Rhinolophus ferrumequinum: one gene and its partner. The protein of the gene in region 2 purifies or fractionates together with the protein of the main gene of each other region. This does not show direct contact. Links are inferred from orthologs where the notes say so. Each region holds a gene or a part of one and is shown on either strand. Other genes may lie near its edges.

Evidence for each region.
Region 1: the proteins of RSRP1 (region 2) and PSME3 purify together in Homo sapiens (affinity purification with mass spectrometry; 3 studies listed by BioGRID and IntAct, counting the BioPlex papers as one, with this or other methods). This does not show direct contact. The link is inferred for Rhinolophus ferrumequinum from reciprocal best matches to the Homo sapiens genes RSRP1 and PSME3.

What each region holds. Positions count from the first base shown.
Region 1 is NC_046304.1:38,471,467-38,479,461, forward strand, and holds the start of PSME3 (proteasome activator complex subunit 3), read left to right. Parts: upstream 1-4,984; 5' UTR 4,985-5,212; coding exon 5,213-5,254; intron 5,255-5,931; coding exon 5,932-5,964; intron 5,965-6,062; coding exon 6,063-6,125; intron 6,126-6,316; coding exon 6,317-6,421; intron 6,422-7,333; coding exon 7,334-7,382; intron 7,383-7,927; coding exon 7,928-7,995. UniProt on the Homo sapiens protein: Subunit of the 11S REG-gamma (also called PA28-gamma) proteasome regulator, a doughnut-shaped homoheptamer which associates with the proteasome. 11S REG-gamma activates the trypsin-like catalytic subunit of the proteasome but inhibits the chymotrypsin-like and postglutamyl-preferring (PGPH) subunits.
Region 2 is NC_046292.1:17,297,666-17,305,636, reverse strand, and holds the start of RSRP1 (arginine/serine-rich protein 1), read left to right. Parts: upstream 1-4,955; 5' UTR 4,956-5,158; intron 5,159-5,387; 5' UTR 5,388-5,445; coding exon 5,446-5,968; intron 5,969-6,577; coding exon 6,578-6,729; intron 6,730-7,970; coding exon 7,971-7,971.

The DNA.
Region 1 (7,995 bases), on a different chromosome or scaffold from region 2:
CAAATCCTAAGTGTACAGCTCAGTGAATTTTCACAAATGAACACACCCATATAACCAGCGCTCAACTGTCCTGCCCTATGGCCCCTTCCAGTTGCTGCTCACCACAAGGGTAAATAATTTCCTCAATTCTAACACCATAGAATGTTTTGAACATCATGTAAATGGAACCATAGAGTATGTACTTTTATGGTTTATTTTTAAAATTTTATTTTTCAATCACAGTTGATATTCAATATTTTGTATTCATTTCAGGTGTACAGCACAGTGGTTAAACCTTTATATAATTTATGAAGTGATCCCCTTGCTAAGTCTAGTACCCACCTGGCACTATACATAGTTACTACAATATTATTGGCTGTATTCCCTATGTTGTACTTTACATCCCCGTGACTAGTTAGTAACTACCAATTTGTTCTTCTTAATCCCTTCACCTTTTTCACCCAGCTCCCCAACCTCCTCCTTTTATTCAGTATTGTGATTCCTCCATCTTGTGTATAGTTTTAGTTCATCTATTCTCAATACTATGCAGTATTCCGTTGTGTGAATACATTAAAATTTAGTTATCTATCCTACTCTTGAGAGACATTTGAGTAGTTGCCTGTTGCCACACAGCAGCCTACCCGTCTGTCCCCATGTACCTGCCCCTAAAGAAAGGAGAGTCTGTGAGCCAGATCCTTTCAGGGACTTTGCTTCACCTTTGTGCTTGCACCTTATGTCTCCCTGTTTGGCCCCAAAAAGATGGCTCGTCAGCCAATGATGAGTAAGATTCCCCATGGGGGGGGTGCGGGGGGCGGACAACTGAAGCCAGGCGCAGTCGAGTGGGGACCAACAGGAGAACCCACGGGGTTCATAGAGGAGGGCACATCCCCTACCCCCCCCCCCCCCCCACGGAGAGCCTCTGCCTCTGTGGCTGCATTCCTTCCCACAACCTGCAAGGGAAGAGATTCAATGGTGTGCTCTCCATCTATTCATATGCATAAAGATTTTGTCCCTTGGGGAAGTACATACTTCCTGAGACTTAAAGTTCAGCTGCCTGCAGGCAGGGGTGATTGGCTTGAATCAGTTTCCTGCTGTGATGTGTGGGATTCACAGATCTTGAGATTGACAAGCTTTATCTCCTTTACTTCCCCACCTAAGTAATAAAAACTAGGCGTTTGCCCCATTCGGGGCCCAGTCCTTGAGGCTGGAGTTCCTTGGCCACACTTACACTCTATTCATGGCTAGTCTTTTCTTAACCCTGCGCCACCCTCCTCGCTCCCCACAACCCTCGTCGACAGTTGTCAGTTGAGGCTATTGTGAATAGTGGTGTTATTAACATTCTTGTTTGTGTTCTTGGTGAATATATTTATGCATTTCTGTTGGGTATGTTTCTAGAGTTCGGATTTCTGAGTCACATATATATATAGAAATATGTATCTATATATTTATTGTTTTAGTAGATACTACCATAACTATGGTTGACATATTAAAAGATAATTTGGGTGTGAGCAGAGAATAGAATGTATCAGTGGGGGTGGTGGCAAGAGTGAAAATGGAGACTCGATTGTCCATTGTAATAGTGTTAGCAAAGGATGACAATGGCTTTGAGTAGGATAACAAGTGAGGAGATGGAGAAAAGCATACTCATACAGGATTCATTATACAGGTAAAGCTCACAGGAACTGCTAATGGTTGAATGTGGGGAGATGAGGAAAAGAGAGGAATCAAGGTTGATAATTAGATGTCTGAGTAACTAGGTGGACAGTCATGTCAGTTACTGAGATGGGAAAGAGCAGGAAAGAAAGAGGTATGTGGGAGAACTGAGAATTCTGTTTTGGCCATATTAAGTTTGAGATGCCCATTAGCTATCCAAGTAGAGATGTCAAGTAGACAACTGGAGCTGTTAGATGTAAGGAATGGAGAAATAAATTTAGGACCACCAGCCTACAGGTGTTGAGTACTGAAAGATTCAAGAAAGATGGAGAAGTGACCCCTGGTGCTGTCAATATGGAAGTCATTGGTAACCTAACCAGAACTATCTCAGTGATAACATGGAATGGGAACGCCTGATTGGAGTGGAGTAAATGGGAGATGAGGAAGTAGCATGAGACAATAGTATCATTCAAGAAGTCTTGCCATAAAGCAGAGCACAGAAACAGAGTGATAGCGAGAGGAATCTGTGTTCAAGGGAGGGTTTTTCTCAAGATGGGAGATATTTATCATGTTTGGATGAGGTCCAGTTGACAGAGATAAATGTAATACAGGAAAAATGGGTAATCACTGAAGCACAGATCTTGAGAAAGTGAAAGGGGATGTGTTCCAACGCACAAAATGAAGAGTTGGTTTTTTTGATGGGAATGGGATGTTTCCTTCAACGAGAGGAGGAAAGGCAGAAAGCATTTGCAGGCTGGCAGATTTGGTGGTGAAATGCAGTGCTCATTTGCTTCTGTTTTCTCAGTGAAGAATAAGTCAAGACCATAAATTGGAGGTGGGAGAGGAGGGCTATTGGAGGTTTAGGGCGATGAGAAGTTATGATAGACATTCAGAGTGCGGAAGAGTAAACTTGTCAGAGGCATGTAGTAGGATCTCGGGTAGTGTTGTGCACCCATTTGAGATTTGTGGACATGAATTTAAAGTGAGACCAGTTCTCAGTGATCACGTTTGATTCATAAGTACCCAGAAATGAACAGAATTTGTTACATATAGCGGTGCCTTCAGCAATTGTTTATTCAACTGAATAAATAAACAAACGAGTAGAGTATTATATAAAACATTTGGATAAGGGAGGAGGTAGGGAAAGAGAGAAGGAATGTGTGTCTTATTACAACCTACTTGAAGAAGACAAAACACAATTATCTGAGAACAAAGCCATATTTCAACAAGCACAAACAGTAAGTTTTCAAGTTGAAGTTATTAATGCTGAAAGAAATGCAGGATAATGGCATACTTAAAATAGGGTGAAGTTAATTTGGGAAAGCATTCCTGAGGTTCCAGATCAGAATTTAAAAATTACTAGGGACAAGTGTTATAGAAAAAAGAGGAAAAAGGGGAAAACGTTAGATGTTAATAAGCCACATAGGTAATAATGGCTATGTTGTATGTAGCCTTGAACAACTGGAAAAGCACTTTTGAGTCTGAAAGCAGGGATGATAATTATATAGTTTAAGGGGTAACCTCTTCATGCTAAGCATTAACAGGTAACTTATCTGATAATGGCTACTATGTATCTAGTACCTGCCTTGTGTCCTGGTACTGCACTAGTTCTTTTACATATGTATGATTTCCAACACGACAACCTTAAAGAATTACACATTATTTATTAATGATTGAAATTCCACTTGACAGATGAGGGAACTGACACTCAGCATTTCAGTAATTTTACCAAGCCATCACAATTAGTAAAGAGCTGAGGTGGGATTTGAAGCCATGTCTCTCGGATCCCAAAGGACATAGTCAGTTGCACTTCATTTAACTATGTATTCCCACCATTTCCCTGGCACTTAGCACAGAGGCCTGCCCAGGATAAATGTTCGGCAGCAACGGTGACCCCAAAATGTAAATCAGATGACCTGACCTGCCTTTGCACTTAATCCCAATTGTTTCCTAATAACCCTCCCCACCCCCTTCTCCCTACTATCCCAAGTTCACTAGTTTTTCCATTTCTTCAATAGGACCCTTTTCAAGTATTTGCCTGTGCTGCACATATACCCTTGAAGGCTCATCCGCTCACTCTTCCCACGCTAACCCCTTTATATCCTTTAGACCTCAGCATCATTGTCACTTCATCTGAGAGGCCTTCCTTGGCCATTCTATCTAAAATAGACCCCTGGTATATTTTCTACATCAGTCATTTGTTTCCTAACGCTTACCAAATTTTGTAATTATGTCGTCAGTTTACTTTCTGGTGTCCTTCCCCAGGATTAAGCCCCATGAGACCGGAGAACTTGAGTTTTGTTTACCTTTGATTTCCCAGAGCTGTGCTGTTCAATACACAAGGCACTAGTCACATATGGCTATTCAGTACTGCAAATGTGGCACTTCTGAATTGAGATGCGCAATGAAGTATAAAATTCATACCAGATTTCAAAAGACTCAGTATCAAAAAAGAATGTACATTATCTCATTAATAGTTTTATGTTGATTACACCTTGAAATGATATTTGGATAAATTGGATTAAACATGATTACAATTAATTTCACTTGTTTACTTTTTAGTGTGGTTCCTAGAAAATTTTAACTTACATAAGTGACTCACGTTAAATTTCTAGACTCTAAGGCAGTATTGTCCCAGAGCCTAGCAGTGTCCTGGCCCATTTTATTGAGCGGAGTAATCAATGTTAAGAGACAGACCGAATGAATGGGTGAGTGAAGAGACAGAGTTTCTGCCTTCCTCTAGGAAAATGGATACAGGATTGTCCTAGAAGTCAGGAGACCAGGGTATCTGGTCCAGGATTTACTGGAATCACTGTGTAGCCTACACGACTCCGGGTGTCAATTTGCTCACGAGGCAGTTGATTTCAGAGGTCTGAAAGTGTATGAGAATAAGTGGCGGAGGAAGGTGGGGAAGCCTGGTACAACACAGCTCGTCTTCTGCTTGGCTCTAGCCTAGCCTAACACTAGAGCTAAGGCTAACGAGAGGCGGCAGCAGGAATCACAGGCGAGACCCCGCGAAGCCAGCGCCGGGACCGCCGGCTTCCTGGGTCTGACGTCACTGGGGCGCGACGGCGTCGTCGGTCCTGCCCTCGAAGAGGCAGCGGCTAAGGTCTCTTCGATGAAGACGAGTGCCGGGCTAACGGAGAGTCAAACAGTTCCCGAGTCTCTCTGAGACTCAATTCTCAGTAAATCAGTCTCCACCACCCTTCCTCTTACTGCCCCCTTACCAGGCACAAGATCCCGGGAGATGTAAGCCGGGCGGGAGAGTCCAGCACCTACCTTCAGCGCGGCTGCGCAGAGCACGTGCGCATCCTCCCCGGAGTCCCGGCTATTGGCTGTGACGTAACTTCCGTCGTGAGCAGCGAAAGCCGGGAGGGCGAGCAAGAGGGAGCAGGCAGCAGGCAGCTGGCCCCAGGCAGGCGGGCAGACGGCAGAGGGGGGGAGCGAGCGAACAGTGAGTGAGCCAGCGAGGGCGGACGCGTCCCAAGAGCAGCCGAGATTCCTCCCGTCTCTCTGACCCCCTCCCCGGAGCCCACAGCGCCTCCGGTCTCCAGCGGAGCGGACACGGCCCGGCCCGGCCATGGCCTCGCTGCTGAAGGTGGATCAGGAAGTAAAGCTCAAGGTAGCGGCACCGGTCTGGGCCTCCGTACCCCTTGCTTCGATCCCCGAGCAATCTGACCGGCTCCCCACACCCCGTGGCGTCTTTGTCTCTCTGGGGACACCAGCTCTGAGCTTCCGCTAGGCTCAGCCCAGCCCCCCACTCCCGAGATGGCTTCGGGGGAGAGGATAATATAGGGTGGCCCTCAGTACCTCGTTTGGTGATGGAGAGCCCCGGGGAGACTTCCGCAGACACGTGGTCGACTCAGTGCTTTATGCTAGTGACAGCTGGATGTTCCCAGCCCGCAACATCCCCGCCTCCGGAGGCCGCCGCTGCCCCTGCCATTGGCGTCAGTCCTACATCATGTCATAGGCTGGGGCTGGATGGGGGTTGGCACGTTTATGAGTTCACACCTCCCCTATCTACTTGTCTTTTGTCTGCTCTCAAACTCAGACAGCCTCAGACACAGGGAGGGAGGGAGGGAAGACCGGCAGGTGTTGACCTCAAGCCCTGCTTCCCTCTCCTGAGATGGAGAAATGGGTCCTCAAAAAAATAAAGTATTTGCAATCTGGGGGCCTCGCAGCTTCTCATTACAATAACAAGGTGAGGGAAAGACAGCTAGATTTGGGTTTCCCTACCCAGCCCATACCTCTTGCCAGGTACCGACTTTCTGTTACTGAATTGCTCTTTGTTAATTTTAGGTTGATTCTTTCAGGGAGCGGATCACAAGTGAGGTGAGTGAAATAAATAGAATAATTGGGAGTTTCCCAAAGGAGAGATGACTAGAGAGAGACCATCCCACAATTATTAATGTATTTTCCCTCATCTTTAGGCAGAAGACTTGGTGGCAAATTTTTTCCCAAAGAAGTTGTTAGAACTTGATAGTTTTTTGAAGGTGAGAGACCTTTTTCTTTTCTGCAGATTCCCCAATTATTTTGGCCCTGGTCCTTCTGTCAAATGGGACAAATCATGTATTGATTCTGTTTGCTTTGTACTGTAAAGCTCTCTCATTTCTTGCCCTTCACGTTCTTTGTTCATCTTGAAAAGACTAATGTTTTTTTTGGGGGGTGGGCTTCTCTCTTTTAGGAACAAATCCTAAACATCCATGACCTAACTCAGATCCACTCAGATATGAATCTCCCCGTCCCTGACCCCATTCTTCTCACCAATAGCCATGATGGACTGGACGGTGTAAGTGTCCTATATTTATCTTTGTGTTCTGAAGCAATAGATTTTCTGTCCTCTATTTCTTGGTCAGTTTGAACATGTACAAAGGAGACAGTGGGATTTGGATCTGGGAATGAGGACTTTCACAGACATGATGACTCCAATACACCCCCTTTAGACCCTGATTTTCATTTATAGCATGGGGTGAATTTGCTAATGCTACTCTGTGTTAGCGTGAGTTTCAAGTAGGACTGATAGCTACCGGTTCCCTCAGGTTATCTGGTCTGTCCTCATGGCTCTAAGCAAGACTTTGTATCTGTTTCAATGTCTTGAGTCTTGTTATGGGATCAGTAGTTTTTTTTGGTGTATAACTGTAGTCACTATCTTTACTGTACATCTTTAGTGCCTAGTCTTTATCAGTTAGTTATATGTCCACATTCTGTAACACCGATGACACTGTATTGTTCTTTGTCTGCATTTTTGTCTCACTGGTAGGACTTGCAATTCTGGAAAGCAGAAACTGACTTAATCATCTTTGTATCCCCAGCACTTAGCATTGTTCCTAGTACATAGCAGGGGCTAAATACGTGTTCGTTGATTATTATGTTTCCTTGTGGAACCAGCAGATTTGTACATATTCCCTTAATTTTATTTACCCTACATTGACTAGTTATTTTTTCCTATTGTTTATAGTATCCACCCATCTCCTCTAATTTCTTAATATGGTAATATTTCTTGAAAGGTTGGTTTTACCAGTGAGAACGTAAGTTGCTTTGCGGCAAGAACCTTTTCTTAAAGCCTTGTATATGCTTAGTAAGTTGTACCTAAATTAATAACTGTGGCGTCACAGAAAGGATTAAACTTGCTTGAAGAGTAACTTGTGATAGGCATGTAAGTGTTGCGAGCAGCCTAATTCCTGTCTCTTTACATCCTTAGCCCACTTACAAGAAGCGAAGGTTGGATGAGTGTGAAGAGGCCTTGCAAGGTAAGAGCCATCCTGCCTCACCCCACCCACTCCCTGGCTTGCAGCTTTGAGAAGCAGGATGGAGCTGGTGTTCTCCTGGCCTGGAAGCAGGATCTGATTTTATTTCCCAGAGATCCCATTCCCGAGTCTTCCAAACATGGTCATGATTTAGCACTCTCAATCTAATTTTCCGGTAAACGGAGGGTTTGACCTTGAACTGCCAAAGAAGAGAGGTTGAGGGTGGCTACACGTTGCAGATTTTTCACAGAAGTCCCAGTTTGTGTTATTTTTTTCCTTTTCAATTTAATAGTTGGCACATTAAGTCTTTAGAGCATATTTTAATTTCCTTATTCTTCAGACTTTGAGCATACTTGAGACATTCATTTGTTAATCCATACGTTTTCTCTTTTTGATTCTGTTGGTGGTGTCATGGTTTGTAGATAGGGTTGTGACAGATAAAAGGCAGAGGTCATGGCATCTCATGGGCCTGGGGAGAAAGAAAGGTCGGGGGGTGCTATGTCCTGCCCCCCACCCCAATCATTTGGCCTTCTTCATGTCCCTGCCAGGAACCAAGGTGTTTGTGATGCCCAATGGGATGCTAAAAAGCAACCAGCAGCTGGTCGACATTATTGAG
Region 2 (7,971 bases):
TCCAATCTGGTTGCCATTCCCAGTAACCACTCTTGTCAGTGTCACTTATGCCCTTGTTTCCTGTGCTTTTAATGAAAATCTTTTTAGCAGAATGTCAAGGAAAACTAAAGAGTTTAATTTTTCTTCAGTAAATAAATTTGTCCTCATAACAAAGGATTCTGGAAGTTGTAAAAGGAAGCTTAAGGTGTTCATTTTGGGCAGTATTCTATCACTGTATTCTATAATGCATAATAAGGTGTGAGATTATGCTTTTTTTGTAGTATAGTTGACTGTTTTAGGTGTCTGTTTAAGAAGAGCATATGTTAAAGTTGAATGCCTTTTGAGCACTATTCCCCTGAAAAAGACCAAAAGTTTTGACGTTGGAATATTGATTTTTTAGCTGGTTATTAAGAAAAGACTCAGAAATGGGGTGGCTGGTTAGCTCAGTTGGTTAGCACGTGATGCTAACAACACCAAGGTTGCCAGTTTGATCTCTGTACAGGTCACAGTGAGATCCTTTAAAAAAAAAAGAAAAGGAAAGGAAAAGAAAAGACTCAGAAATAAACTTTGACCCACCCCCCTTTCCTGCCTAAGAGATTCAGATGGAAAGACCTACATCAGGAAGGAAATGTTAGGATGTTCGCTTTAGCAGCCTAATTTGAATTGAGTGTGATGGATGGGAGGGCCTCAAGCTGGGGCCTGTTTACTAGATTACTCCTGCGTCTGTTGTTTCTGGGTTGCCTAGCAGAAATTTACTTGCCATGTACTGCTCTTCCTCAACGACCTGTAAATTGCCTACTTCCTTTGAAATCTCAGACCCCTACCTGCCTTTTCTCCTTTGTTGAAAGTAACAACATAATATATGTACCCAATTTTACCTCACAGTCTTTGGAATTTTCATGCTTATGTGAATTCCCCGAGTTCTCCTGTTACTCCGCCTCTGTTAATTTGATTATTAGCCCAGCTAGAAGAGCTTAGAAAGTGGAAGGAAAAGTATTATTATTTTTTTAGCCCCACACCCCAAGTCCAGCAAGTGTTCTCTTCCCTCGAATTCAGTTAAGTAAAGCTATCTACCATGTCCGTGTATCCAGTCAGCTTTTGAAAGGTAGATTCATATTACTGACAAACTAGGTAGGACCTTGCTCCTTGATAAGCAGATAATTACATTCGTGGCTCACCACAGTCTGCCCCGGCTCTATGTATCCAGCTTTGTCTTCCAAAATTCCCCACCCCAAACTCTTTGCTGTAGCCAAGCTGGTTTTCTGTCCGTCCCCAAATTGTAAAATGGGCATTTATATGTCTAGGATTTTGCTAAGGCCTTTGTTCTTCTCTAAAATCTTCTTTCCTTTCCCTTTGCCTGTCCTTCAAGACTTGTTTCAGATTCCATTGATGTAGAGTATTTTCTTTGTGCTGGGATGGTGTCCCATGAAACCGAAGAATGGAAGCACGGACCAAGGAGAGGTGAGGAGTTGTACAAGAGGATAGTTTATTAAAAGTGAAGAGTAAAGAGTCACAGCTCTTGGAATGAGACGGGGTCCCGACTGGGTTGCCCAACATGGGACAAAAGCTCTGGTTTTTATATCTTCCCTTGCCTGCTTGGAGAATGGGGCTGGCGCCTTCTAATGGCATTCGTCTATCAGGTTTGTCCTGTTTGCCCACCCTAAAGGGATTAACAACCCATTCCTATCTATCAGATCTGCTCCTTTGGCTATAAGAGAATTATGAGATAATTTATTAACCTCAAGGCACATTCTTATACCTTTGTCCTGGGACTTCCCTGTCTACCTAACAACATTCTAACTAACCTGTCTCACTATTTTCATTTGTTTATTCCGTAAACACATCTGAGTGCCTAGCATATGCAATGCACTCTCAGGAATGCTAAGGTACAACAAAACAATGCCTATCCTATGTAATTTATATCCTAGCAGGAAAATGATACATTACAAAATGAATTAATTTTTAATTGAAATAAAATTTAATTACTACAATTGAGATAAATGTTGAAAATATGAGGCACAGGAAAATAGGACTAACTTTAATGGGGAATGAACCAGTTTAGGTGATCAGAAAGGCTTTCTCCTACATTGTTGATACAACCTTTTTAGACAGCAATATGGCAATATATTAACTCACACAGATCCTTTAACCCAGTGATTACATTTTTGAGACTTAATCATGTAACAGTAAAAGTACCAGTACTTAAAGCAGCATGTGACTTTAGTTCCTAGAAAAGCTGCAAATGTTATAAGGTATGATATCTAAGCAAAGCTTCCCAAGAGGTCATGTCTCTAAACTAGCCTGGTGGATTGAGGTCAGCAAATGAAGGTAATCCAATGTGCCACAAAGTACTATTCAAGGGGGTGGACTCACGAGATGCGTGTAGAGAAAAGGACTAAAACACTTTTCTTGATCTACCCAACAGAATCTAATATAATAAACACTCTATAAATATTTGTGGAAGGAGATACAGGCGATGGGGAAGGAACAGGTTTAAATATGTTTGGTAGAGAGAAAGAGATAACCATTAAGCGATTATTGGCATGATGAATCATTGCAGAACCTCTAAATGAATAGTGGGAGGGAGTGAAAAAGAGATACTTGATCAGGCTGGCAAAATAAAACAGAAAAAGTGAAGAAAGCAAAGTAAAACAAATAATAGACACCAATGGAAGAGATAAGATCAACATTGTACAACATTGTAGTTACTCCAATGAATGTAAATGGATTGAATTTACCTATCAAATGAAAAAAATCTTTCATATTGGGTGTAAAATTCAGCTAGGTGTTGTGCATATAAAACACATAAAACCACGTGAGCATATAACAAGAAGGATCCTATTCACAATCCACAAATACCATCAAAATATTTCAGAATACACCTAGCAAGTGTAAGATGTGAATGATAAAAGCTATAAAATTTTAGTGAATGTATTAGTTTCCTATTGCTTCAGTAACAAATAACCGCAAACTTAGTGGCTTACATCAACCCAAATCTATTATCTTACAGTTCTGTAGGTGAGAAGTCTTACTGGGCTAAAGTCAAGGAGTCAGCAGGGATGCCAGATGGACTGGACTCTTCTTGGAGGCCTAGGGGAGAATCAACAACAACTTGCTCAACCAGGTGTTTCAGTTCTATGAGGACTGAGATATTTTCTTTGTGATTGTCACCTGGGAGCCATCCTTAGCTCCTAGCCGGCTCTCTCAGGTCTTTGCAGAAAGCTCCCAACATTTCAAAGGCAGCAACAGGGCAAGGAATTCTCATGCTTTGAGTGTCTTTTGTGATTAGATTGGGCCTACCCAATCAGGATAATCTCATCCCAAGTTCCTTAATTTTAGTCACTGTAAAATTCCTTTTGTTTTTTAAGGTAACATAATCTCAGGTTCTGGGAATTAGGGTATGGACACCTTTGGGGGCTATTAATCTGCCTACCACAGTGAAGGACATAAAAAAATTTAGAGAAAAGTGTCACATTCTTGGATGGGAAGATGTGGTATTGTAAAGATGTCATTTCTGCCTAAATTAGCCTACAAATTCTGTGCAAGATGCTTTAATGATGATTTGGAATTGGGCGAGTGGATAGATGCTCAGAGAAGACTGTACTGTTTAGAAAAACAAGGGATCACTGACATCCCTTGTAGACTTTAACTCAAGTAGATTGCACATATTCTGGAGACAAAAAAACACCAGTATTCTGCACGAGAGCAAAATAACGTTTCCTGTTGTGTTTTCAGTACTTTTTCTAGTCACCATATTTGAGGCACATATTTGACTCATACTATAATCTATCTACAGATTCCTACCACTTTTTCCTTATTCATACCAAGAGCTCAAGCAAGATTGCATCATTTTATATAATTTCACATTATTTCCCCCAACACACCATTTTTACACTTGTCAAATCTGAAACTCATTTTATTTTTCGGTCCATTTACACAGCTTCATGAGAACTTTCAGAAAAAATTCCTGGCAGATGGGCACTGTCTTCTCAGTTTACTTGTGATAGCACTTTGTTTCTAAAGAAACATTTCTTCACTTATTTCCATCATGTTTTCCTCAGAGAAGTGGATGATACTGTGGACAGTGCCAAGCAAGACTGCTAACACCGGTGGGTGGATTCCATGATAAGGTTTTTTATTCCCTCCACTTCTGTGTATTTTTGGGAATGTGGGGGTGAAGGTGAACAAGAGAAAAATGAGTTTGTATCTCCAAGTAAAGTGGCTTTTGTAAAAATGCCACCCTTGATTGCAATGTAATGACTGACTCTCACTCTCCCCACAGATGGTTAGTTGATTCAATAAAAAGTGATTTCAAGGGAATTGTCATGCTTTAATTAGCAACAAGTATGTTTGGAATGTATCCTGTTTATAAATCCTTGGAAATAGTCACGGTTGTTTAATCCCCAACATGAAGCACAGTGAACTCAGAATGATATCTCGGACATCATCGACCCCTTTGATTAAAGGTCACCTAAGGGTGTCTTTGCATTCTTTCTCTACCTATCTTACACTGACTAGACAAAACATGGAAGTAAAAAGCTTTTCTAAGTTAATATTGCATTTTCAGGAATCCTGTGACGCCGGGAAGGATCCGGAAGCGGTCGCCCCCCACCCCGCGGCCGGCCTGACCCTGGTCCGGAGGCAGTGGCCAGGAAACGTCCAGGGAGACACAGCCCGGCCTGCAGCTTCCCAGAGGTGGAGGCAACGACGCAGTCAGCATTAGCTGGGTAGAGAGTTCTGGATCCCGGCGTCACTCCGCGCAGGATCTCCTCACCCTAGGGTTCCAAAACAAAGCCACCACGGGCCGCCAAATACCCGGATGGAGCAGCACCACCTTCCCTCCTCCCCCAGCCCCCTCCACACACTTCCCGCCAAAGGCTGGGTCGTACAAGGGCCTCCAGGAGGCCTTTGCGGGAGGCCAGGGGCGGGGCGTGGGGGCAGGGAGAGGAGGCCACGCCCATTGCACCACCGCTTCTGCGCATACTCCGTACTTCAGCTTCTGGTACTTTCGATGCGTCGGCCGACGCCCAGCTCATTCCGCGTCGGGACGTCGGAGGTGTCGTGTGTGACATTGCTGCTGGAGAGTAGCTGCCCCAAAGCCCCGCTTCGTCCTCAGCTGTGGAGGAAGGCGTCCGTTGGGCCTTTCTCTTCGTCATAAGTGAGGCGTCGGCGACCTGTGGTAAATATTCTGGTGACGGGGTCGGACCCGCGGAAACCTCAGCGTGGGTGGCAGGGAAAGTGCGGGGCCCTGTGTGGCGAACAAAGTGGGGCCGGTGGGGCGGAAAGCTCGGCGTCTGGCGTCGGCAGCACTAGGATCAGGCGAGGCTCGTTCCTTTCCCCGGGCTTCCCCGCCTTCTCCCGCGCGGCTTCCGGAACTTCATTCCCCTCCCCCACTTGTTTGTTCTTAGGAACAGACTGTTCCGGAAGGAGCCTCCAAAACAAGGAAGCGCCACACCGGAGTCCGTTATGTCCAACTACGTGAACGACATGTGGCCGGGGTCGCCGCAGGAGGCCCGGTCGACGTCGGGCCGGTCCAGCCGGCTGTCCTCCGTGACGCGGAGCCACTCGAGAAGCTCGCGATCCAGTTCCGGCGTCTCCAGTCAGTGGTCGTCCAGGAGTCGGAGCCGGCCCCGGCGCCGGAGCAGGTCCGGGAGGTCCAGGTCTCGTTCCCGAAGGCGCCACCAGAGGAAGTACAGGCGCTACTCGCGGTCGTACTCGCGGAGCCGCTCGCCATCCCGCAGCCGCCGCGGGTACTGGGAGAGGCACTACCCTTCCTCGCGGAGGTACTACCGCTCTCCCTCGCCAGACCGATCCCGCAGCCGGTCCCGCTCTCGGGGACGGTCGTATTCCCGAAGGGCCTACGCCGTAACGCGGGGCCGACGCTACTACGGCTTTGGTCGCACGGTGTACCCGGAGGAGCACAGGAGTGGGCGCGGGAGATCCAGGACGCGGTCACGGAGCCCAACCCCATTTCGCTTAAGTGAAAAAGGTGAGCGTTTGGGGTCGAGGCGCAGGTGACTTCTCCTTGGGCACCTTTTTATGCGTGTGGCGGTAGTATGAGCCGGCGAGGGAACCAAAGTTGCTGTGTAGTTACAATGTTTTTGTTTTGTTTGGTGCCTGAAATTTCAATATTTTGGGAGGAAAGGGAGGACTTAAAACTAATAGTTAACACTGCACTGTAGTTGACACCCAGTGTTCACATGGACACCATTTCTTCCCCCTTTGGGATTAAGCTGTAGGTGTTAGATGGCTCAGGGTGGAGGTAACTTTTTCTCCTGGTGGCTGGCAGTTCTTAGTGGAGTCTTCTAAATGTTAAGTGACTTGTTGACTAGCCTTAAGCTCTGCTAAGATGACTATTGAACGGGAAGAAGAGAATCAAAACACTGCTTTTAAAAAAATTAACATTGTATTACTAAAAAGGATTTTGTTGCAGTATTTTATCCAGTATTGTGGTATACTGGATAAGATCATGGAACAGAAAGAAGGGTAAACATCTTTCTTTTGCTATTCTAAATAAAACACGAGCTTATTTTGTGATTCCTGAGTCCTTTTGGGGAGATAGTACAGGATTAATGAATATCTTGTGTTTCTTTTGTAGATCGAATGGAGCTGTTAGAAATAGCAAAAGCCAATGCAGCAAAAGCCTTAGGAACAACCAACTTTGAATTGCCTCCTAGTCTCAGAACTGTTCTTGTATCTAAAGAAACAAGCCGTGGGACAGCTGTAACAAATAATGGTGCAAAGTTGGAGGTAAGTATTCAAGGATTATCCAGACAAAATCTTCAGAAAGCTACTGCCAGAAAGAGCTGATTAGCCATTTTTATTTGATTTACCTTAGACGACTACTTGGAAAGGCTAGTCAAACATTTGTGAAAATCAAAATAGCAGATCTGATGGTACTAGACATGGTCTCCCATAAAAATGGGAGATTAATGAAATTTATTTTCAATTGACACAATTACTTTCATGATTGTAGCTGGTACCTTGGTGATTTTTGTGTAGTTATCAAATTTTTCTAACTATACAGAGTATCTGTAGCTTGCATTTGCAGCATTTTGTTCCCTCAAATTCTGTATTCAACATACAGTATAGTTTATCTGCTTTATTTCTGTCTTATAGAAATCATGAATGTGGTCTCCAGACATTGATGAAGAAAATCTGTTGGTAATTGATACATGGGCATTAAGCATCAGATGTTTAACTAATTTGAAGTTTATGTTCACACACTGAAAGCTTAGTTTTTTTGTTGGTAGATCCATGTGCATGCTAGAATTTGGGATAGGTACTATTTGGAAAAGATATTAAAGACAATTTTTAAACAAAAGTACACTTTGTAATGGTGGGGCATCTGTGATATAGATGTCTCTTTCATAATAAATGCAATATATTCCAGATGGTTTGAGAGATTACAGAAGAAGAGGCCTGCTTCACTTGCAGATAAGTTTCACAATTCTCCAGAAGTGTGCTGGATGTGCATTGGCAAATTGCACTGTGCTTTTAAAGTTATGTGAAACCCAAAGCATAAAATCCATAGCTTTGAAGGTTTAAGGTAGTTAGGAATTGTTAGAATCAGTTAAAAGAGGAAAGATGTCTAGATGAACCTATCATTCAGACCCAGATGTAGATATGCTTACGTATTAGTAGTAGACAAAGACGATCTTACTTCAGTTGTTCTTTTCAGATGATTAGATGCCCAACTGGCAAATGCCTTAGTTCTTTGAAACTATTTATTACCTGGTATAATTTTACTGTCAGTTACTTTATTGGGGAATAGAACACTGCTTTATGGGGTAGAGTGTCTTAATCAGGCCTATTAGGCCAATTTTGTGCTCAACAGAGTACAGTGTTGTTTAGACAGTTAACTATATGGTTAGCTCCAACTTGATTTGTGTCTGTACAACCAAATTTATATATAATTGGGCTGCTTTGTATACAGTACTGTAAACCAAAGTTACGGTTTTTAAAAAATAAATTTTCTCTTACCTGTCTAGC